Linked DNA regions of Alligator mississippiensis. The protein of the gene in region 1 binds, or shares a complex with, the protein of each later gene. Links are inferred from orthologs where the notes say so. Each region holds a gene or a part of one and is shown in the gene's direction. Other genes may lie near its edges.

Region 1 (7,744 bases):
CTTGCAGGCCACATCTCGGAGGGTAAGGAGGTGAGTGCTGGTTGTAGGAAACTAACGCAGCTGTTGCTTGCACCCCTTGCTGATGTGAGCCCAATGGGGCTCCGTGTCCCAGACTGGCAGCAGGTCCATGAATTTCTGGGATGCTGTTTGTTCAGGGAGTGCTGAACAGCTGATGTCTTCTACAGAGCACACCCACTGGGACAGGGTGACTTCCTGCAGGGCACAACCCGGTGGCACAATATTCCTTCCCCTTCTCTGGATCTCCAGTGCCACTGATCCAGCGGTTAAAATGTCATGAGAATTTAACCAAATTCACAAATAAATAAATACATTTTTAAAAAAGTATTTATTTCCCTCTCTACCATTTCTTCCCTTCTCTTACTAAACCTAACAGTGTAATCGTTATAAGGGGGAGCCCCCATTCCCAGTCCAGGCGTGCAATTGGTTCAAGTTACAAATTCAACCGTAGATGTAGATGCCTGATAGATGGGGGTGGAAGGCTTGGGATTCCCTAAAGCCACTGAATGAGGCCTCTGAAAGGTCAGAGTTTCTCTTTGTTTTCTTTGTAATTGCATTGTGGAACTCATTGCCATCAGATGTTGTAGAAGCTGTCAGTTTAGCCTGATTCAAGAAAGGGGTGGGACAAATTCTTGGAGGAAATATGCATCAGTAGCTATTGAGCACAGAAGTTAGGGGTACAGCCTCTGAATCAACTGCCTAGACCTTAAATGCTGGGGACTGCAAGTGAGAGAAGTGGCAAAAAACCCTGGTCATCCCCAGTTCACTCTCCCTTTCACTGTCTACTCTTGGCCACTGTCTGACACACAATACTGGGCAAGATGGACCTATGGTTTACCCAGTAAATGGCAGATCTTATGTAGAGGGCTTATAGGAATCTGTGCAGTGAGGAATGAACAGGGGGCTGCTTATACTGACACTGTAACTCTCATCCAGTCCCGTTATTAGACACTGGCCACTTTCCAGGCTCAGGCTCAGGAAACAAGCAGTTTTACAAATGGAAGATGCTAAGAGCCCTATTTCCTGCTGCCTATGCATCAGCGCAGGGATTGTCATTTTATGCATTTCATTCAGGGATGCCTCATTCAAAGAGGGCCCAGTTCTGACCAGGGGCCTGCAGGCAGTCCCACAATACAAATACTAACAATACTTCCATTCCCTGGCTGTGAAGGGTGACCACAGCTGCGACACCATCTTAGCTCATTCCCTCAAACCTCAGTGAACTGACACACACAAGACACCTTGCATAGCAGTAATGATCTATTGTGTTTATGCTGGACACTTGCCCTCCTCTCAGAGGTAGACAGGCAGGCTTTTTTGCTTCTCAGCCCAGACACACAGCTGGGTGGTGAAGGGCTTCATTCACTGTCACGAGGCAAGAGGAGCAGGAGAAACCAAATAGGGAGGATGCTGACTGAGTATGGGTGGATATTCCTTACCCCGTGGGGCACCTCCAGGGGCGTGGAGGTGTAGGTGGATCTAGAAGGGTGAGGCAGCGTGAAAAGCAGAAGCAACAGAGCAGGTGGTAGCTGTAAGTAGCAGAGGGTTGGGAACTGCGTAGCTCCCCTGTGTTCTGCTGCTGCCAGGGTGCCTCAGGGGGTGTGACTGGCAAGAAGCACTGCACAGTGAAGTAATCAACAGTGGCAATAACAAACAATTATAGTGATTGTTGTTATCATCTTCACTCGCTGCTCTTATTCTAATGAGGGCCACAAGGAGCATGAATTAATAGCCATAAGGCAGTTAAAATACATGTGAGACTTAGATGCTAATTTTAATAATGATAATGCTAGTAATGAACAGTTAATAAGTCTAATATGAATGATAACAACAACACCCATCCCTGCATGAGTCCCTGCGGAAGCTGAAGCAACCAGGCTGGCCTGTAGTAGGACAAAGAGGTGAACAGGACCCATGTCCTAGGGGAGACATGGGGTGGCACTGGCTTAGGTTGCTCCAGTGGGGGTCAACCTTTTTGACAGGTGTGCTACAAGTTACCCTGACACCCTCCCCAAGTACCACTCTGCTTCCCTCCATCTTTCTGATCTGCTGCTCTGCTTTCTGCTGCCCACCTTGTGCTCCCTGCCTGAACTGCTGCTCTGTTTTCTGCAGTCTGTTGTTGCGCTGCCTGCCTTTTCCCTGATCTGCTGTGTACCATGTACAGAGGCTACCTGTGCTGCTTGCAGTACATGTGCTGCAAGTTGGCCACGCCGGCCATCTACCCTCGTCTCAAGCAAGGGTCTAATTCAGCATCTCCTGGACTCTTATCTTCCATCCTTGCTGTGGCAGTAGGGACCCACAGGCTGCTGTAGTGAGTACCAAAAGAGATGAGAGAGCAGCACATGGTTCTAATGACTAGTGTGGGCAATACAGCCCCACAGTTCAGGGCATCCATTGATTGCAAGCCAGCTCCTCTTCTCTCACAACATACAAACTAATTGGCTTAGTAGCACTGTGAATTTGCCCTGTGTGCTGAAGAGTTGGGGGCAGGGATGGACCATCAGCCTTCAGAGACTACAGATCTTGGATGCAAAGTCTGTGTGTGGAGCCCTCAGAAATGCCAACTCAAATGAACCTGGAGTCTCGGTGATTCCATGACTTCCACCCAAACCTGCAAACTCTCCAGGAACATGGAGGAGACTGGTAGCATGACTTGGCTCCTGAATGGGCTTGGAGAAGAAAACAAAGCAGACCTCATTCCCTCAATTGCTCCCACCTTTTTGCTTTCCTTTGGAAAGTCTCCTGAGGTGGGGGGTGAGGAAGGTAGCATGGAGCCTTTGTTCCTCTGGACATTTTTAAAAGATTCATAGATGTTAGGGTCGGAAGGGACCTTAATAGATTGAGTCTGACCCCCTGCATAGGCAGGAAAGAGTGCTGGGTTTAGATGACCCCAGCTAGATGCCTATCTAACCTCCTCTTGAAGACCCCCAGGGTAGGGGAGAGCGCCACCTCCCTTGGGAGCCCATTCCAGACTTTGGCCACTCTAACTGTGAAGTTCTTCCTAATGTCTAGTCTAAGGGAGATGTCTAAAGGGAGATGTCTAGCCCCTCACATCTCTTTTTGTGATATTTTTAAAGGTACAATGACACTGTAGTTAGGCCACTAACCTAGTACTCAGGGGGCCTGGATTCCAGTTCCTGGTCTGCCACAGATTGCCTGTGTGACCCCAAGCAAGTTGCCTAGCCTTCCTGTCCCTCCGTTCCCTTTCTGCACACTGGGAACAAGTGTCTGAGTCTCCCTCACAGGGGTTTTGGGAAGATAAGTGTATTAAACTTTCTGGATAGAATGGGGCATAGCTATATCCCATTCTATATAATCAAATATAATTATATATATTTAAATAATAGTAGTAATAAAGATATTCAGATCGACACTGGGAACACAGGAGTGCTGGAAAGCAATGGTGTTTGGTGAGGCTTTAGTTACTTGGTCAGGCTCAGAGATGCTGGGTGTTCTTCCTGTGGTCACTGAGGAGAGTGGGGGCGGCAAGAGCAAGGAAGAAGAGGACAGGTCTGTGTGGTGCAGCCTCGTGACTGCCAGTCCTAGCTGGTTGCTGATGGATGGTTCTCTCCAGTGGATAGAATTGCTTTGCTTGAGGTGACTGAGCAAACAACGTAGGAGGCAGAAGACAAGATGCTCCTCTTATACGGCCACATTGTGGTAAAATCACAGAAAAGCTTCCTCTCCACAGCACAGCCACTGGATGAAACACCGATAGCCACAGGAACAAAAGTGCGACAGTCACAACTAGTGACAGCCCTGGAGGGACTTAGGATGAACATCAACACGGCCCAACATCTCCCTGCAGGCGCCAAGCTCCATTGGCCGGCACGGGAAGTTTGAACCGCCTCCGAACAGGGTCAAGTTACCAGGCCTATTTGTCATCCTTCAGGGGCGTGGGCCAGGCCCAGGACGCCGGACAGCACCCACAGACCCTCAAAAGCGCCCAAGGAGCTAGTGGACACTGCCCAGTGATACTCTGCTCAGGGACGGGAGCGAAGTAGGGCGAGGAACGCGGCCCTGCTAAAGTTACCAGGCAGTTGGGAGGGAATTTTTTTTTTTTTAATACTACATTTCGTGTTCCAGGTCAAATACCCCGGACCCGTTCCGAGTCACCTGGACTGGGCAGAACGCAATCCTCCCGAAACCGCATGGCCGGAGCAGGCAGAACTCAGTCCCTCTCCTCACCCCCAGGCATGGTGGCAGCCTGCCGCCATCCTCCTCCCGGCCGCCCACCCCGGGGCCCTGGCGGGCGTCCTCCCCGCCCCACCGCCTGGACTCGGCGCCCCGGGGGCTACGGGCCAGCGCCCTCCCCGCCCGATTCTCAAGTCCGGGACCTCAGCCCACCAGAGGTCGAGAAGCAAGACTGCAAACACCGGGCGCCAACACGGAGGAAACGTCCAGACTCGAGAAGGCGAAGCCGCGGGCTGAACACGGCGGGGCTGGGCGCAGGCGGGAGGCAGGGAGGGAAGCGAACGAGTCCGCACAGGAGCGGGCCAAGACTGCGGGGAGGAGCTCGCCGGGCTGTGACGACACAGGCGGGGGCGGGGCCGGGCGCCTGGGGGCGGGGCTCGCTGACGCGCAGGTCGAGGGGCGGGGCTCCCGGGGCAGGCCGGGGGCGTGGTCCCCGTGGGGGCGGGGCCTGTCGCCGCGCGGTGTCTGGCCCTGGGCGCCGCCGCCGCCGCCGCCGCTCGCGGGGAGCCGCGCCGAGCACTAGCAGCGGGGCGGGGCCGGGCCATGGCGATGTCCGGTCGCGGCGCCTTCCCGCTCAGCCCCCTGCCCCCCGGCGGCGCCGCGGCCCCCCCGCCCGGCCCCGGGCCCGGCCTCCTGCGGGGGCCCAGCCCGGCCCCCGCGCCCGCCACCCCCGGCTACCGCTCCCTGGGCCCCGCCGCCCAGTACCAGGTCAGTGCGCGTCTGGCGTGGCGGGTGCGCGGGGCGGGGGTGCGCGCCCGCCCCCTGGCGGGCACTTGGTGAAGCCCCGCAACAGCTATGGCCCCCCTCGCCCCCGCCCCGGCTTGGCTCAGGCCCCTCTGTCAGGACCCCCGCGCCTGCCCGCCCCGCCACATGTCAGCCGCCCGGCCTGCGCCCTGCCCCCGGCACCCTGGGGAGACGCAGGAAGACCACGCATGTGGGGAGCGGGTGCCCGCGAGCAGCCCCATGGCGGCAGCGCTCTTGAGCGAGATGGGCTGCCGCTCGCTCGGGGACTCGCTCTTGCGGTCGCGGGGAGCTGCTGTCAGCCGGGTGGTGGGTAGTTGATAGGCTGGTTCGATGACCTGCGCGGTCTCCAAGCAGGAGCCTTCGTGGGTTTTGACACTGCTAAGTCCTGGGGCCTGATGCCTTTGTGCCCTGAGCTAGGCGCAACGCTGCAGCGCTGCAGGTTGGGGCGCGGCTGGCGGGAGGGCTCCTGTTCAGCTGCTGCACCCTAAAACGTATCGGAAAGCTGAGCCAGTGCCACTCCAAAAGCCCAGGTGTGACGCTATGCGTGTGTGCTGCCACGATGCTTGGCTTAAAAAAGCGCAGGTGCCAGCTTGATCAGTAGGTTGCTTTGCACGCAGCATGTTGTTCTAATTTAAGTGACAAAGGCCTGGATCTGGCAACAGAGTCTTCCTCCAAAAAATGTGTTGCACGCCTTGTTCCAGATGGAAAAAGCAGCTCATAAACATACTTTCCTGCCTGTTCATCCAGAAGTAGCCAGGGGCTAACTGAAAGTAGAGCAGGCTTTGTAACTCAGCGCTAACATGGACCAGGTGGGCCTCTGTTATGGCAGCTTAATTCCAGGTCGCCTCATCCAGCTTCTGTCCTTCCACACGCAATCATCTGGCAGAAGTAGAGAAGCAAGCCCATGGCAGCAAGACTTATCTATAACTCTGCTCTCAAGCCCAGAAGCTTGTGGGCGGAGATCCCTTAGGAGTGGAGGCTATCATCCCTATTACCAGAAATTATTCCTGCTTGTTAAAACTGTTGTTGCAGCCCTGACACTGGAAGAGATTTGTCTGTGCTGTCCTCAGAGAGCGTGCCAGGGGACTCCCAGCGGAGTGCCCCCGCTCTCTCAAGGATTCCTGTGTCTGAGGACTTGCGCTCACCTTCTTTCTGAATTTGGCTGAGATCCTTTTTAAATGTCTCCGGGGATGTGTGGGTGGGGTGTTTCCTTGCAGGAGGTGTCAGCTTGAGAAGGGATCTCCGTTTTGGAGTGGATGAACTGGAGACGGTAACTTCAACTTGAAAAGTAACAGCAGAAGCTTAGTGGCTTCCTTAGAAGCTGGAGTTTCTAAAGGTCCTCCTGGCGCTGGAGACTGCGTTATGTGTCTGGAGCTGATAAAGCTCCTCAGCAGAGGCAGGGTAGTTGCTTTCACTGGGTTCAAGGGGGTGTGTGTATGTGGGAATGTGCTTGAATTCAGCCCGCCAAAGTGAGGGAATTTAACCAGAATGCTAGGGTTGTCACGATGTCTTCTAAGGATCTCAAAGCACTTCTGTACTGCCAAGGTGAGAATTGTTCCCACTGTACAGATGAGCTACCCAGTGCACCATTAAGATTTACGTGTTCCAGTGTCAGTCATTTTGCATGCCCAGCTCAAAACCTGGAACCTGATTACCAGGGAACCTGGGCAGTTGCAGCTCTCACTGACTTTCTTCTTAGTACTTTGCAAATCCAGTGTTGGCATTTCCAGTGGCAGACCAGGAAATGGAGGCATTCGCAGGTGGTGACTGCTTGAATGGGCTTGTCTCCATTGCTTGGCTAAGGTTGGATAGTGTACTGTTTGCAGATCTGGGAATGCGACACTGACTCCATTTCCCTCCAGAGTTGGGCCTCCAATATTTCCTCAAGATGGCAACTCTGCTCATGGTGTTATGGGATCTGGGGCATCAGTCAAGAATTTCATTCAATAGAAATCTTCTTGAATGTGATCAGGAAATTAAAAAAAAAAAAAAAAAAAAAGTCCAGATACTGTTGAAGTCTGTTTCCAGTTCACCCTTTGCATTAGCCATCTTTTCATTGTTCTCCATTGCTTTTATTGCTTGAAGTCCAGGGAAGTGCTGTTAGTAGTTGAATGTTAATGCACACATGTTGTGTCAGTGTCAGCAGCCCACAGTGATTGCCTGGATCTGCCGTATACACCCAACAGGAACTGTTGTGCACGGCTCCCTATCAGCACAGCGGCAAGATTCACTTGGAGGTCACGGGACTTGCCTTCTGTTTGGGCGAAAACAAACCCACTCGGGAGATAATTGAGCACAGATCACACTCTAAGCAAAGGTGGTGTGTTCTACTTAACATTTTCCATTTCCTCTCTTCTTGTCCCTTTTATAGCAGCTCCCAAGTCAATAGTTATATGTGTGTTTTGCCATTGTGACATTTACCAGAGAGCGGGTTGACTGGGAATGGAAAAGGAGAGGAGGTTCCCACTTAGACCTTGAATACAGCCTCACTGTTGGCCCTGGGAGTGGAACTGGCCAAAGCAGAGCTGCTGGAGAACCAGTGAAGCAGTCCTCTGTTGTCTAGCACTTGCAGTATGAGGAGTATAAATGTTTTAATTGATGCTCTTACTTTCTCCTTCCCCCTCCCCTGCAAAGCTAGTCAGGTTGCCAGACTCCTGCATGCTGGCAGGATTAGCTTTGAACAAGCCGAAGCATTGCTTGCAGCCTTCTCTACCAGGCAAGGCTTGAAATGGAGGAGAGTGATAATTCAGCAGGCTCTCCAGCTAGCTGCCCTGGCTCATCTCTATTC
Region 2 (7,599 bases), on another chromosome or scaffold:
GGAGCTGGGCGGGGCTTGCGGACGAGCACATCCCGACTCAAAAACGCTCGCCGGAGACAGGCCGGAGCGAACGCAGCGAGAGAACGACGCGGGTCATACATACACGTGGCTCCGACTCCAGCCCGGGGCCGCTGGCTTTTTTTTTCCGGTGGGTTGCGAAAGAGGACCAGAAACACAAAAAAACCCAAAAACGACTCCAAAAAGCCCCCAGTTTCAGGGGCTTTTGGGCTGGTTTCCTCCTTCCCGGCGACTCCAGGAGACAAAAAAAAAAAAAAAAAAGACCCCATCCGGGAAAAAAAAAACAAAAAAAAAACCAAACACGCAAAGGAAAATAAAAAAAGACCCCGAAATGCCGGGTTTTTGGGCAAATTTCCCGGCCTCTCTGTCTAATTCCTGCCGACTTTTACGTAGTTCTAAGGCACCACATTGTGCGTGGTGGGCGGGCCCTGGCTGTCTGGCTAACGAGGGCCCGGATGGGGAGGCAGCCGCCGGGAGTCGGTAGCGCCGAAAGCACCGGGATTGGCACCGGAAAAAAGAAAATAATGGAAAAAAAAACGGCTATTTTTGGTCTCTCCGCAGGCGGGCAGCTTAATTGGCTTCTCTCCTTTCTGGCTGGGAACCGGGTGGAGGAGGACGTGGGGGGGGGGGGAAAAGAAGGGTGAGTTATAATTAACATCCACAATGGAACGGAGACGGACTCGTTAAGAGAAAAAAGTCAAAAGCTAACAAAGGGAGAAGAATTTAAAGGGAAAAATGCAAGAATTGGGGTTTCAGGTATAGATTGGAGTTTGTGGTTTGTTTGGTTTTTTTAAGGAGGGGGCTGTCAGCTTGCAGGACGCCTGGGTTCTCAGGGTGTAACAGGGCCCCCCTCGGAGCAATGGGAGATGCAGCTTGTTCTGGGGAGGGGCGTGGATAGGTGGAACAGGCTTGGATGCACCCAGCTCTGGGAGAACCAGGCTGGGTAGAACAGGACAGGATATGCATAGCTCGGGGGGTGGGGAGGGTGTCAGGCTGGGTGTAACAGGCCCAGGTACGCCCAGAGGGGCATGGATGGGTAGAGCAGGCCTGGATGCGCCCAGCTCTGGGAGGCCAGGCTGGGTGGAACAGGACGCGGGTGCTATAATGTGGCTACCTCGGAGTTGGGGTTTACACTGAGATCTATACTGGGACCAGTCTGGAGACAGTCCCCAGGGCCTGTCTGTTACTGGGGAGACTGGGCGGTGGGGCTGCGAGAGTAGAAGGAACCCAGGAGTCCGGCATGGAAGGAGCCAAAGAACACAGCAGGGGCCGGGCTGTACATTGGGGAAGGGGAGCACTGGCCCCACCCCCAATCTCCTGCCCTTAATTGGGACCAGTTTCACCCCGCTGCTGGTTCCCAGGTCCCATACCGAACCCTGGGGGGGATGGGGGTGAAGAGAATAGAGCTGTGGGTGGTCTGCACCATTCCTCATTCTTCAGGGGTGGGGCAGCTGTGTGGGGGCACACACACATGATTCTTCATCTTTGAGAGAAATGAGATGTACCATTGCTCATCCTGATGAGAAATGGGACATACCATTCTTCATCCTCAGCAGAAATAAAACGTGCCATTCCTCAGATCTCTGAGAAATAGGACACAGCACTGCTTGTTCCTGGGGAAGGGAGGAATGGGAAATACCATTTCTGATGAGGGGGGGACATGACAGGATGTACAGTAACTCCCCACTCTTGGTGGGGGGGAGAATGGGGCATACCATTCTCCACTCTTGGGGGGGGAATGACATGCCACTCCTTATTCTTAGGGGGTGAATAGGATGCACCATTCCTCATTCGGGGCGGGGGGGGCGGGCGGACGGGATGGGACATGCCATTCCTCATTCTTGTACGAGGATAAGAAAAAAACCATTCCTGATACTTGTGGGGGACCAAGACGTACTATTCCTCACTATGGTATGGAAGGAAACACACCACTTCTCACTCCTACATGGGGACCGGGACTCCAGGGGGGGCGGGACGTACCATTCCTCATCCTTGTGGGCCAGGAAGAAGTCCTGCATCTGCTGGCGCCGGAAATCCAGCTTGTAATCATTGTAGCGCTTCACAGCCTCCGTCTCATCCACCGAGTCGTCCAGGGACAGCAGGAACTCCTTGAAGCTCTTCATCACAGGTGGCGCCATGCCCAGGTCCACCTCCGCGATGTTCCCCAGCCTAGTGGGGGGGGCAGAGATGTCGGGGTAGAAGCTGAGGACAGGGCAGATGGGAGTTGGGAGGTTAGAGGACAAAGGGCACACACTTACCTTGCCTGGATAGGCAAGATGTGATGCTGCATGACATGCATGTCAGGGTGTGCCCAGGGCTGGGGGGGGCCGTAGGCTGGCCCGGCGCCCCCCCCGCTGTAGGGCATCTCGTAGCCGCTGTGGTAGGGGTCCCCGCTGTGCTCATCCCTGCAGGGAGAAACAGGGGTGTCAGAAGCGGTCAACCCATGGGGGGGGGCGTGGGGAGGGATGAGGGGGTTGGACTCACCAGTCCCGGCGCATGCGCTTCTGTGGGGGGCTGAGCTCATGGCGGGGCGGGGAGAAGCGCTCCCGCCGGTTCCGGTCATAGTCTCGGTACTCGCCCCGGCTGCGGCGCTCCCGCCCACGGTCCCAATCCCTGCCAGATTAGGGGAAGGAATTAAAGGCACGGGGGCAACATCTCCCTCTGCTGTCCCCACATACCCCCTCCCCAGGGCTGGGTGCATCCAGGCTTGTTCTACCTAGCCTGGCCCTCTCCCTCTCCCTGAGCCAGCTGCACTTTAACCCCGCTTGCTATACCTCCCTGCTCTTCCCACCCTAGAGCTGGCTACATCCCTGGTGCTGTTACACCTGGCTGTGCTCTACCCCAGAGCTGGGCGCATCCCGGCCCTGTCACCCCCCCCAGCCGGGCGTCCCGGCCTGGCCCCCACCGGTCGTTCCAGTCATCGCGCCGCCGGTCGTCGCGCTCCCGCGAGCGGTCGTAATCGCTGCGCTCACGCCGGAACTTGTCGCGGCGCCGCCGGTCGTACTCATCGTCGCTGTCTCCCATCGCTAATGCCTGGGGAAGGGAGATATCAGCGGCTGCTCCGGGGGTCCAGTCCCCCATCACCCCAAGCAACTGTTGCCATGGATACCCCAGACCCCTCCCACACCCTTCGTTGCCATGGCGACCCCCACACCCCCTAAAGCCCCCACCCGCTAAGGCGCCCCCCTCCCGTTGCTATGGCAAGCCCACCCCCGTTTCCATGGAAACCCCTCCCCAGAAGCCCAGCGCCCCCCCGCACCTCAGGGGTTGAGGGGGGCCTGGGGTGACACTGGCTCCGCTCGGCGCGAGGCGACCGCAGCGCGCGCGGCGGAAGCGGAAACGGGGCCGCGCCGGAAGCGCGTAGAGGTGGTGGCAGGGGGCGGGGGACGCTCTAACCACGCGCCTCTCCGGGCCGCGGCCCTAGCTGGCGTGGAGGACTCGCTGGGGACTCTCTAGCCCCAGCCTCTGGTGCGGAGGACTGACTAGGTCTCAGCCCTCTCTAACGTAGAGGACTCGCTAGGGGCCGGTCTAGGAGGTGGGACTCTATGGTTCGGAAGACTGTCTACCTCCCGCCTCTATGGTGCAGAGGACTCACTCAGGTCCAGCCTTCTATGGCGTGGAGGACTCGCTCGAGGGCGCCCAGCACAACTGAGGGTGGGGGGAGGGCTCGGAGAGACCAAGTCACTGGATCTGGGGGGAGGAGGTGGGTGATACCAAGTCTCGGTGTAGGGGGAGTTGAAGAGACCAATTCCCTATAGCGGGAGAAGGGGTGGGTGATACCAACTCTGACTGCGGTGGGAGGAGATGGGAGAGACCAATACAGTAGCTATGGAGGGAACAGGTAGAGGGGTGGGTGATACCAACTGTCTCAATGGCGGGGGAGGTGGGAGTGGGAGAGACCACTTCACAGGGTGTAGGGGTGGGTGATATCAACTCTCTTGGTGCTGAGGGGCGGAGTGGGAGGGAACAACTCACTGGGCATGGGGGGATAGGTGATACCAAGTGGGGTGGAATGAGAAACACCAAACCCAAGATAAGGGGGGGAGGGTGATACCAACTCTCTGTTCGGGGAGGGGGGGAGAACGGGAGAGGCCAACACATTCCTAGCGGGGGTGGTGGTGGGAGGGGACTAGGATGGACCAGACTAACTAGGTGGGGGAACGTGGGAGAAACCAACTGCTTTCATGAGAGGGGAAGCAGGGCGATACCAAATCACGCCCCACCACACCCAGCCTGAGAAAGAAATAACCCCCCCAGCACAGCTGTGGTGCAGTCCAGGCTAAGGCACCCCTTCACCTCACCACCCCTAGCCCCGCCTCCCCCGTGCTGTGATTTGCATAATTAGCCGCGCCTCCATCCCATACCCTAGCCCTGCCCCGTTCCAGCCTGCATCCCATGCACGTGCTCCCGGGAGCTCGGGGAGAACCCAGTCGTCCGCCCCAGCTCAAAAAAAATCTCCCGCCTGCCCCTTTAAGAAGCAGCTCAATTGTCACTCATTGTCTGCCCGGCCAGCCAATCGGGAGCTGCGCCGGGAGGGGACGGCCCTGGGATTGGCTGCGGCCGCTCTTCCTCCCCCGCCCCCCCGGACGCTGTCCGTCGCCGCGGTGCTGAACCAGCCGCGCCGCTGGGACCTGCTGCCGAGCCAGGATGAGCGGAGGCGTCTATGGGGGAGGTGCGGGGGGGGCACCCGTCCGGGCCCCATAGAGAATGCAGGGACCCGGGACCCCCCGCGAGAGACAACCCAGGGGCCCGGGACCCCCTATCGAGAACCGAGGCATTCTGTCATTCTACCCAGTCCGGCCCCCCCCCCCCCCCCCCAGGCACAGCTGCATGGGGAGGGGTCTCACGTGCTGTCTTCTCCCCAGATGAAGTCGGGGCACTGGTCTTTGACATCGGCTCCTTCTCGGTCCGAGCCGGCTATGCAGGCGAGGACTGCCCCAAGGTACGCGAGTCCTGGATCAGGGCCTCTGGGCTGTGGGGTGGGGAGTAGGTTTGAAGGTGAAGCCCCCTCCCCATCCCGGGTTGGGCCCTCTGAGGGATGTTGCATGCTCTGCATCTAGCATGGGGCCAGGATCCGGGCTTGGGGGTCAGGATCGGAACTGGGGGGCTGGGGTGGGGTCTATGGGGCTGGGATCTGGGATCAGAGGCTGGGATGGGGCTGGGGTCCAGGATTGGGGATTGGGGTTCATGATTGGGCCCAGGGGCTGGGAGTGGGAAATGGGGGCCAGGCTCGGGGATCAGATCGGGGATTGGAGCCAGGATCAGGGCTGGGGCACTGTGCTGACCCCCGCCCCAGGCGGACTTCCCCACCAGCGTGGGGCTGCAGTCGCACGAGGAGGCAGTGCTGGAGCTGGACGGCGACAAGGACAAGAAGGGTGGCAAGGCCTACTACATCGACACCAATGCACTGCATGTGCCCCGCGAGGCTGCCGAGGTCCTCTCCCCTCTCAAGAACGGCATGGGTGAGCCCTGGCCCTGTCCCCAGGCCGCCAGGCCCCACCCCCATAGGTGGCTGCCCTGGGCAGGAGCCAGGCTATGCCCTCCTAGGCCCAGGTCACACCCCCTTGGCTCTGGTCACACCCGTACCTAGCCCTGCCTCCCTACAGGACTGGCCACACCCCCTTGGGTCTAGCCATGGCTAAACCCAGCCACACCCCCTTGGCTCTGGCCACACCTGTACACCCCACCCCCACAACCCATGCCCCACCCCCTAGGCTCTGACCATGCCCAAACCAGCCCTGCCCCCTACAGAACAAGCCACGCCCCTGGCTCTGACCACACCCCCTACATCCTAGGCCATGCCCCCACCCATAATAGCAGGGGGGCAGAGGCCCCACCCCCACCCCTACCCTGTGGCCACACTCCCTGACACCCGGTGCTGCACCTTGTGGTGCAGGGGGCAGGGCCAGTCAGCTGACCCTGCTCCCTGCCCCCCAGTGGAGGACTGGGAGTGCTTCCAGGCCATCCTGGACCACACCTACAGCAAGCACATCAAGTCGGAGCCTGGCCTGCACCCGGTGCTCATGTCCGAGGCGCCGGTACGTGCCCATCGTCGCAGCAACTGCCCCCGGCAACTGCTCCATGTCCTCCCCATGGCAACTGTGTGTTCCCCCTCCCCCCATCCAGAAACCACCACCCCATCTTCCCCATGGCAACAGCATGTGCCCCCGGCTACCACTGTCCCCATCTGTGTGTGCCCATGGCAACCAGGCCCTGCGTGTCCCATAGCAACTGGGCCCCTATCTTCATAGCGACCAGGCCCTGCATGTACCATAGCAACTGGGCTCCCATCTCCAAGTAACTGGACCCCCCCCCACCTGTTCCATAGCAACTGGAATCTGGGCTCCATAGGAACCCGACCCCCTGCCTGTCCCATAGCAAACACAGCTCCCATCTCCACAACAATAGGGGCTCTGATCCCCATAGCAACAAGGGTGTGCATCTCCATAGCACCCAGACCCCCTACATGTCCCATAGCAACAATATCCCTCTCTCCATAGTAACTCGGCCACTTGCCTATCCTGTAGCAACAGGATCCCATCTCCATAGCAATCGGACACCCCTGCATGTCCTATAGCAACCAGGCCCTGCATGCCCCATGGCAACCAGGTCACCCCCCCATCCCCATGGCAACTAGACCCCCCCCATTGCCCTAGCAAGCGGCCCATGTCCCCGTAGTGGAACACGCGGGCCAAGCGGGAGAAGCTGACGGAGCTGATGTTCGAGCACTACAACATCCCGGCTTTCTTCCTCTGCAAGACCGCTGTACTCACCGCGTATCCAACCCCCTGGAGACCACCACCCCCAGACTCTCTCTTCTTCCTCTGCAAGACCGTCGTGCTCACTGCATATCCCCCCCACCCCTGGGACACCCCCTGGGACCCCTCATAGCCCCCCAGAACCCCTGCCATGCTCACCTTGTATCCCCCTGGGATTCACCCAGACCACCCCCTGGGATACCCCCAAACCCTTGGGACCCTACCTTCCTCTGTACGACCACCATCCTCACTGCATATCCCTCAATGTCCCCCCTGCTGTGCTCCCCAAGTATGTCTCCCCAGACCCTCCTGGTCACAACATACTCTATGGAGGAAGGGAGTGGAACACCAGGACACCTGGGTTCCAGTCCAGGACCTCCCCTCCAGGGGCCCCAGCCCCACCCCCGCACCATGAGCTCAGCATGTATCCCAGACAGCCTCCCCCCATGCCCCCCTGGGCCCAGCAGAGAACACAAGCATCCAGGTCCACTCCTGCCCAGGGCAGGCAGAGAACCCAGGTGTCCAAGCCTTGACTCAGGGGTCAGCTTTGCCAATGGGCGCAGCACGGGGCTGGTGCTGGACAGTGGCGCCACCCATACCACCGCCATCCCGGTGCACGACGGCTACATCCTGCAGCAGGGTGAGATCCCCCACCTGGACACCTGGGTTCCCCAGGGGGCACAGAGGAGGCAGCCTGGATGTCTGGGTCCCCTCTGGGAGCCAGAGGGAGAGGTCCCCAGATGCCTGGGTCCATTCCCTGTGCTTTGAGAAGGGCGAACTCTGAGGGGGGGAGGGGCGGGGACATGGCTTCACATCTCCTGGG
Region 3 (7,908 bases), on another chromosome or scaffold:
GGTGATGCACAGCCAGGGTGGAATGCAGGACAGAGGGGTGCAGCTCCCACCACTATGAGCACCCCCAGAGGGCATAGGGGCCGTGTGCCCCCAGATCTGCATGTGGGGTGAGGGTGAGCTGCGGGCTGGAGCCAGGGCAGCATGGGGAAGGATTGGGGGGCGGGGGCCTACAGAGAATTCTGGAGTGGCTGCAGCCCCTCCCGTAGTCCCCTCCCAGCACCGCCACTGCCCATCCTGAGTGCAGCCCCTGACCGGGAAGAACCCGGCACTGTCCTGGCCCCAGCCTGCAGTGGCCCACCTTCGCCCCACGTGCAGATCTGGAGGCACATCACCCCATGCCCTCCATGCATGTAGTGGCTGGAGCTGCCCCCCACTGACTGAGGCTCAGTCCTGTGCCCTGCCCCACTCCCTCCCCCACCACTGAGGTCTCAATCTGCCCCACCTCCTTAAAAACAAGAAAAAAAATAAAGGGGTACAAGGTGAAACTTTGAGGCAGAAGGGGTACATTTGTTAAAAAGAGGTTGAAAACTCAACTTGGAATGTTATTAATTTAATTTGCATGAATTTTAGCACTTGTACTAAATTAGTTCTTTGCAACAGAACTTTATTATGAAGATGTTAGAGAGATCCCTCACCAGAGCCATTTCTCCCAACAGACAAGTCAGCAGAACTGATCCAAACAGAGGTACAAGGCGAGCTTTTAAAGGAGATTGATAAACCAAACAGTAACAAATCACTAGGACTTGACAACATTCACCCTAGCATCCTGAAGGAGCTCAAATCTGAAATTGTGAAATTAATTACCATAATATGCAACCTATAACTAGGGATCTACATTAAATGTTACAATACAGGAAAGAGATCTTGGGGCCCTGGCATACACTACATTTAGGACATGATTAAGATGTTAATTGTGCCATAAACAGTACATATGTTAAAGCCGATTTATGGGATATTAATATAGCAAATAAGACACAAAGATATTCCATATATAATATCTTTGTGGCTTGTTTGTATCACACCTTAAAGTGAAAGTGTGGCATGTTGGGGTTGATACATGAAAGATCCCAATACTCAGCTGAGCACAGAGATCCGGCATGGGGAAACCCCAAAGTCCAGGACACAGGTCCCTACCCAATCACTGGGATCAGGCTGTGGACAGCACTGGGTACTAGATTAAACACCCCCATCCAAGTAAATGGCTATTAAGGCTATGTAAAGTGAAGGATGACATGCACCAAGTTCCCCTGAAAGTGAGGCTGTCTTCATACCCCCTTTCACTTCACTATAAATTAAACTATGTTACCCTTTGTTTCCTTTGTTCAGCTTCACGAAGAACTTCCTCCTTGAATGGTGCAGCACTGGGAACCCCTGGATCTTTTCGGGGCTTTTTGTTTCCACGCTTCTTGGCTTCTTTCCTGAGTTTTCTCTTGTGTTCCCGTACCTGTAATCAAGAAAGAATATATATTGGAATTCAGTTTAATAGGAAAAGCTAAATGCCTACATATAAGTATGTGGCCAGAGAAAGATTTTTAATTGCAAAATCAACACGCATGTAGCTATAGCTAAATTAATGAATCCTAAGTATTACAAACTTAAAATTCAAAAGATCTACAGTATTACATCATCTGTGCCACTGCCCCTCCCAATGAAGATCTGTTCTTTACAATATACTTGAAGGCAATTTTCAAGCACCGTTCAGACTCCCATATCCACTTAAAATAACCTCTACTGCAATGATTCTCAGCCAGGGCGATGGGACACCCTGGAGTACTGCCAGATCCTCTGAGCATTCCCTCATGATAAGATAAACTAGGTAGATTAACTCAGGCTCAGGCTAATGCCGATCTAAGTAATTATCCCACCCCCATGTCCCAGCCCCTCTGCAAGGAGGTAAAGACTAGAGGTGCACTGATATATCAGTCGCATATTGGATCAGCACTGATAACAGAAAAAATAACATTATCAGCCTTCAGCTTTTTTTTGGCCCATAATACCACCAATAAATGCTGCGTGCATGTCAAGTACTGGGCCAGGAATGCAGCCCTGAAGCTTGGAGAGCAGCATCCTGTTGGTAGGTTGGGGGGGGGGGGGGGGGGAGAAATCAAGGCCCCCAGGGTGAGGGAGGGATGGGTCAGGTGCTGCCCACCCAGGGTGGCGGATGCAACCCCAGGGCGAGGCAGAGCCGTGGGTAGCTCATCTAGGGGGTGCAGAGCAGGGACTCCCCCCTGCCACTGTGCGCACCCCTAGGGGGAGGCATGAGGGGCATGTGCCCCCCGAGATTTGTGCAGGGGGTGAAGATGGGCTGCCCGCTGTGCACTAGGGTTCAGCATCTGCACCAGCCTCTTCCCCAAGGTGGAGGCTGGGCCAGGGCTCCACTTGGGGTAGGTGGGGGTGGGGTGGGCTCAGCTGTGCGGGGCAGGCAGCAGCAGTGCTGGGAAGGGTGGCTATGGGGAATTTGGGGATGGCCATAGTCCCCAAAGTCCACTCTCAGTGCTGCTACCTGTACCCCCACAGCTGAGCCCACCCCACCCCACCCCACCCCAGTGCAGCTCTGGCTCCAAGCCTGCAGTGGGCAGCCTGCCCTCGCCCTGCATACAAATCTGGGGCAGCACATGCCCCCATGCCTTTCCCAAGGGTGAGCACAGCGGCAGGAAGCCATCCCCCCCGCCCTCTGGAATGGCAGTGCGTGGCTCCACCACATGCCCCAGGGTTGCATTCACCACCCTGGATGGGGCAGCACCTGCCCCATCCCTCCCTCACCCTGGGAGCCTCAATTTCCTTCCCCACCCAGGCTTACCAGCAGGAGGCTGCTCTCTAAGCTGCTGGGCTGTATTCCTAGCCCCATGCATGCCATAAACACAGAATTTATCAGTGACTTTATCAGCCAAAAAAAATGCCATGCCAGCATTTCCCCCCCCACAGCATGCAGCCTATTGCTTGTGCTGGTGCAAGGTCTGAAACCCTCTGCTACTTAGAAGACAGCCCTATGTTAGAGCTCTTGATAACGCAGCACATTAGAAATACCTCAGATCTGGGGGTCCAGACCCCTGGAAGGAGTCTGGCAGCGCTGAGAGAGCAGGTTGAGCTCCATGGAGCTGGTGGAGCCACTCAAAGTGCAGCCTGGCAGCAGGAGGCAGGGAGATCCAGTGGCAGAGACGCTCTGAGCGTAGCCTGGCAGCAAGAGGCTCTGCAGCCCCACAGAGTTGAGCCTAGCAGCGGGAAGGAGGGGAGAGCCACTGGCCAGGGCTGCGCTCAGAACAAAGGCTGCGCTCAGAGCAGCTCCACCACTGGCTCTCCTGCTGCTGGGCTGAGCTTCGTGGGGCTTGCGGAGCTGCTCGGAGTACAGCCCTAGCTCTCCCCCACCTCCCGCCACTGGGCTGCTTTGAAACTTGAAACATTTTGGGTGCCCTCATTTCATTTCAAAGCCTGTTGTTTCATTTCGATTTCACTGTCCCAAGCTAAAAGGCGCCGAAACAGCTTCAAAATAAAACACCAGTTGAAATTTTGGACAGCCCTACTGAGCCCCACTGCCCTAGACAAACAGTGGAACCATGAACATGTGCGGTGTGAAAGAACTAGGAGCTGCACTACGGGGCCCCAGCTGGGGAACGTGTAGGTGAGTGCTGAACAGTGTACAGCCCTCCCCTGCAAATGCAACAAGTCTGTTCAGGACTTCGATGTAGCTGAACACAATGAGGCTCCACGTAGTGCTTTGCAGCCCAAAGCCCTCGGGAAGCCGGGCAGCGAAGACCTGGCCTGAGCTTTCCTGCTTGCCTTCCCCCTCCCGCCTGCCTATGCTGTGCTTGGGGCAGAAACTGGTCCCTTGAATCCGACCGCTCCCGCTTGGTGACCCACCTTCCTCTGGATCTTGTACCGCTTGTGGCAGGTCAGGCGCTTGCTGCCCTTCCGAAGCTCTGCAATCAGGACACGCCATTAACAGAGGGCAGACGAAGGCCGCCGCCTATCAGCACCCGATGATGTCGCGGGCCACGGGCGCCCGAGTGTGGCCGGGCCTCGGCCACAGGTCTTGGGCACGGAGTCCCGGCCCCACGTTGCTACAGCCTCCGATTGATCGCGACCGCCCGGCCTGGCCCGGCCCCCACTACCGCGCGCCCCAGTCCCGGCCCCGCCCGAACCTCCCACGGCCACGGCCCCCAGTCGCTGGCCCCTGCCACAGCCTCGCTCCCGCTCCCACTCCCGTTCCCGGGCCGCGCGGCCAGGCGGCGCCAGCGCCCCGCACTCACTAGGCCTCTTCATGGCTGCTGCCGCGCGCTCACCCCGCGTGCAGGCGGCGGAGCCGAACCTGGCGGCTCTGCCGTAAAGCGCACCGCCCGCCCCTTCCGCGTCCCGCCCCTAGGCGCTGCACGGGTTGTCGCGCTGGCGGGCTCGCTCGGCGGCCGGGCGGGCTTTACGGCAGCGGCAGGGTCGGTGGTGAGGGGCGACAGCGGCTGTGCCGGCAGGGCGGCAGCGGTGGGCGAGTGCGGCCGCAGTAGCGGGCGGCAGAGCGGAGCTGCCTGGGTGGGTGAGGGAGTGAGCGGTGAGGTGGTGCGCCGAGGCGGGGCGGGACGGGGCGGGGCGGGGCGAGGCTGGGCCCGGTAGCCGGGAGGCCTCTGCTTCCCTTTGTGTGGCCGCCCTGCCCGCTCGTGGCGGCGGCGGTGCCCGCCCTCGCGCGGCGACCCCCCGCCCCGCGCCACGGGACTGCCGAGGGCCCCCCGCTGCCGGCCGCGCCGGGCTGGCCCCGTGTCTTGAGGGGCGATTCCCCCGCGGGAGACGCGTTGCCGCAGTGCTTCCACGAGGCTCCTGCTCCGGCCGGGGCGGTGGCGGGGGCTGTCAGCGCAGGGAGAAGCCCCGCCGCCGCCGGGAGCCTCGATGCCCGGTGCTGTCACGCGGTTTGCTGTCGGTGGCCCCGGGATGGGCAGGCGGGCTCTGCTGCCGCTAGCGCAGGTGACAGCCGGGGGCTGGGAAGGGACCGGCCGCGACGCCTTGACGTCTCCGGCGATGTGAGGGGTCCGGTGCACTCTGGCGATGCGCGGGGTCGGGGCGGGCAGCAGGGTAGAGCGCACTTGCCACGGCTGTGCAAGGCCCCGAAGACGTGCGTGGCCCCAGGGAAGCGGCGCTTCCCTTCAAAGTTTGTTCCGTCTTGTCACAGTAGTGCCGCTGCTGCCGGAACCTGCCACGGGAGCAACAGAGTCCTGCAGCGTTTGGTAGGAGAAGAATTAAACTGGGACAAGCCTCTGTTTTGTGTACTTGTTATCTGTCTTGTACACTTCTTTCTCCAAGGCTGAGGAGACAACTGTGCGGCCTAGCTAACTTCTTTCCTGCTTTATCCTCTGAAACAACCCTCTGACATGCTTTCCCAGGTTACAACACAGTTTTAGTCTTGTCAGTAATGCTGCAGGACAGTATATGGTACATTCTCTCCCCATCATTTTGTTGTGTTTGTCAACTATCTGTTGAATGGTTTTATAGAAATCCAGGGAACTTTCAAAAATAGTTTTTGTGGCATCTATATACATGCTTTGATTAGCTACTCTGAAGGGTACGTAAAAATTTAGACTTTTAAAAAACACTTTTCAGCTCCTTTTAAAAATATTTTAAAGATGTGTAGAAACAGTATTCTTACATGGGGATTACTTTTGATAATAGATGTGTGGGACCTTAATGGAGTACATCAGAATATTACATCCTCAGATATTGTTAGAAGAAATTATGTTTTAGTATTAGGAAGAGAAATTTTCTTCAGTGACTGCCTGTAGGTGGGGTCTTCAGGTGCCTAACCTTTTAAAGAAGTTTAAAAAAATATAATGGCTAGGATTTACTAGTATTGTATAAGTGGTGTGGAGATGCTGTACTTGAATCCCATCAGATTATTTTATAGTCCTCAAGATCCTTTGCTTCATATAAGGACCAATTTTCTAGTGGAGATACACTAGTACTTGGTGCATTATTCAAGGATACATGAAATATTTTGATTCCAAATGATAAAGTACTACATACTAGATGAGTAAAAATCATTTTATTCTTTTTGGTTCTTTGAATACAGTTTTTTTAGAAGAACAGTTTTAGAACAGGTATTCACTGCTGACAAAACTGTATAGATTAATATTTTCCATGCTGGACTTGATACACTTTTGATTTTAGTAGATCTGTGTTTAATCAAGCTCATTATTTCATGGTATGATATGTTGAAAATCTGTCATGCAATAGGGATATAGCTGAAGGTTTTTGAACGGGGGTTAAATTAAGGCTTAATAAAGTAGAATCAGCAATTTCCGGAGAGTCTTGATGGTGTGGGTCATTGCTACAAGTCTGCCTAGTAACTTAGGGTTGTAAGACTTTTTTTTTCTTCTTTTTACTGTCACTGTACTACTTTTTTATAGTACCATCAACTTACAGTTTCCACTTACTCCCTCTTACACTTAGGCTACTAGATGAAGTGATACTTGCATTACTCGGGCTAGTGAATGGCTCACATTATAGTAGCATTTAAACATTTTAGTTAAAAGTTCCAGAAATGTATATGCTTTGCGTATGCAGAAAACCTTTAGTTTTTGATAACCCCCTCCAAATTTATGTTTCCTCTTTTCTCCAGCCTTTGTGATGGCTTTTCTCAACTGTTATTCTTAAATTCTTTTTCTCTCTACTCTCTCCTTTTAACCTTTCCCCTCTTCTGTTTTTTCTCTCATTTTTCTTCTCTTTCAGCTTTGGCTATTAATGCAATTGCTGATTTGACATTTTCAAAGACTTGCCATCTCTTAGTACTTTAACCTGACCATTGGACACAATGAGGAGACTGGCTTTTCGAGGTGCTGGTTGTACTCTGGTAAATCTGGTAAATTATTGATCATATACACACCCTTCTTCCTTTCCCCTGCCTGGCCTTTTATTTTTCTTTATCTTAGCCTTAGTGAATCCAACCTCATGCTCATTCATCTTGTTTGTTTACTTGTAATGAATTGTTCACTGGAATAAACATGAACATAGCTATGTCACTACTTCACCTTATATAAACTGTAGATTATATAACAGAAAAATACATTGTTAAAGTGAAAAGAGCATGGGTGACACTGGAAATATTTTTTTTGTAATAGTGACACCTTGCCATTAACATTTTGGCAGGATCCAGCAATATGTTTCATAGTAAACTCAGTAGTTGCTGGATGCCTAATAATTTCAGTCAATAGTGATGTTAATAAATTCAGACCAGGGACAAAAAGAGAAGACTCCTTGAGTGATCCAATTTGCACTCAGTCCTAATTTTCAAGTGAGAATGATGTAGCTTGAGAATGCAACCAAATTTACCTGTATTGTGGCCCAAATCCTTTGTTTGTCTGTTTGTTTTTGTGATTCTGGGACTAGATATTACATAGCAGTTGTGATTTTACTCTTAGTTGCATTAACTGTATGTTTTGGTTTTTAGCTTATCAGAGTTGTAAAACTATCTCTGAACTTCTCATGTATCATGACAATACATCTTATCATTATTTTGGAATGAGGAGTCATAAGCTTTTATAGTTTAAAAAAACATCCTAGTAACTGCTAGATAATTGCAGCACTTTGTGCAAGTCCCCAGCCCTGCAGGGATGGGTAGCAGTATATAATTCAAAATGTATTTGATTCATAGAATCATAGAAAATTAGGGTTAGAAGGGACTTCATCTAGTCCAGCCCCCTGTTCAAAGCAGGACCATCCCCAACTAGATCATCCTAGCCAAAGCTTTGTCTAATCGGGTTTATAAAACTTCTGTAACCTGGGAGGTACACACTTCCAAGGTTGGAGATTCTACCACCTCTCTGATAACCTGTTCCAGTGTTTTACTAGAACACTAGTGAGAGAAATTTTCCTAATATCTAACCTAAACTTCCCTTGCTGGAACTTGAGACCGTTGCTCCTTGTTCTATCATT

Evidence for each region.
Region 2: SMARCD2 (region 1) and ACTL6B share a complex: the UniProt entries of both Homo sapiens proteins name them as parts of the BAF complex. The link is inferred for Alligator mississippiensis from reciprocal best matches to the Homo sapiens genes SMARCD2 and ACTL6B.
Region 3: SMARCD2 (region 1) and PBRM1 share a complex: the UniProt entries of both Homo sapiens proteins name them as parts of the SWI/SNF-B (PBAF) chromatin remodeling complex. The link is inferred for Alligator mississippiensis from reciprocal best matches to the Homo sapiens genes SMARCD2 and PBRM1.

Annotation. Positions count from the first base shown.
Region 1 is NC_081827.1:170,136,506-170,144,249, reverse strand, and holds the start of SMARCD2 (SWI/SNF-related matrix-associated actin-dependent regulator of chromatin subfamily D member 2), read left to right. Parts: upstream 1-4,689; 5' UTR 4,690-4,755; coding exon 4,756-4,920; intron 4,921-7,744. UniProt on the Homo sapiens protein: Involved in transcriptional activation and repression of select genes by chromatin remodeling (alteration of DNA-nucleosome topology).
Region 2 is NC_081838.1:23,998,252-24,005,850, forward strand, and holds the start of ACTL6B (actin-like protein 6B), read left to right. Parts: upstream 1-4,583; 5' UTR 4,584-4,665; coding exon 4,666-4,690; intron 4,691-4,883; coding exon 4,884-4,960; intron 4,961-5,314; coding exon 5,315-5,480; intron 5,481-5,955; coding exon 5,956-6,056; intron 6,057-6,696; coding exon 6,697-6,794; intron 6,795-7,321; coding exon 7,322-7,416; intron 7,417-7,599. Other genes in the region: SRRT (serrate RNA effector molecule homolog), read right to left, coding at 1,999-2,187, 2,277-2,423, 2,503-2,631, 2,924-3,042. UniProt on the Homo sapiens protein: Involved in transcriptional activation and repression of select genes by chromatin remodeling (alteration of DNA-nucleosome topology).
Region 3 is NC_081835.1:38,675,141-38,683,048, forward strand, and holds the start of PBRM1 (protein polybromo-1), read left to right. Parts: upstream 1-4,845; 5' UTR 4,846-4,872; coding exon 4,873-4,947; intron 4,948-5,152; exon of another isoform or gene 5,153-5,207; intron 5,208-7,908. Other genes in the region: GNL3 (guanine nucleotide-binding protein-like 3), read right to left, coding at 1,307-1,444, 3,859-3,917, 4,248-4,260. UniProt on the Homo sapiens protein: Involved in transcriptional activation and repression of select genes by chromatin remodeling (alteration of DNA-nucleosome topology). Required for the stability of the SWI/SNF chromatin remodeling complex SWI/SNF-B (PBAF).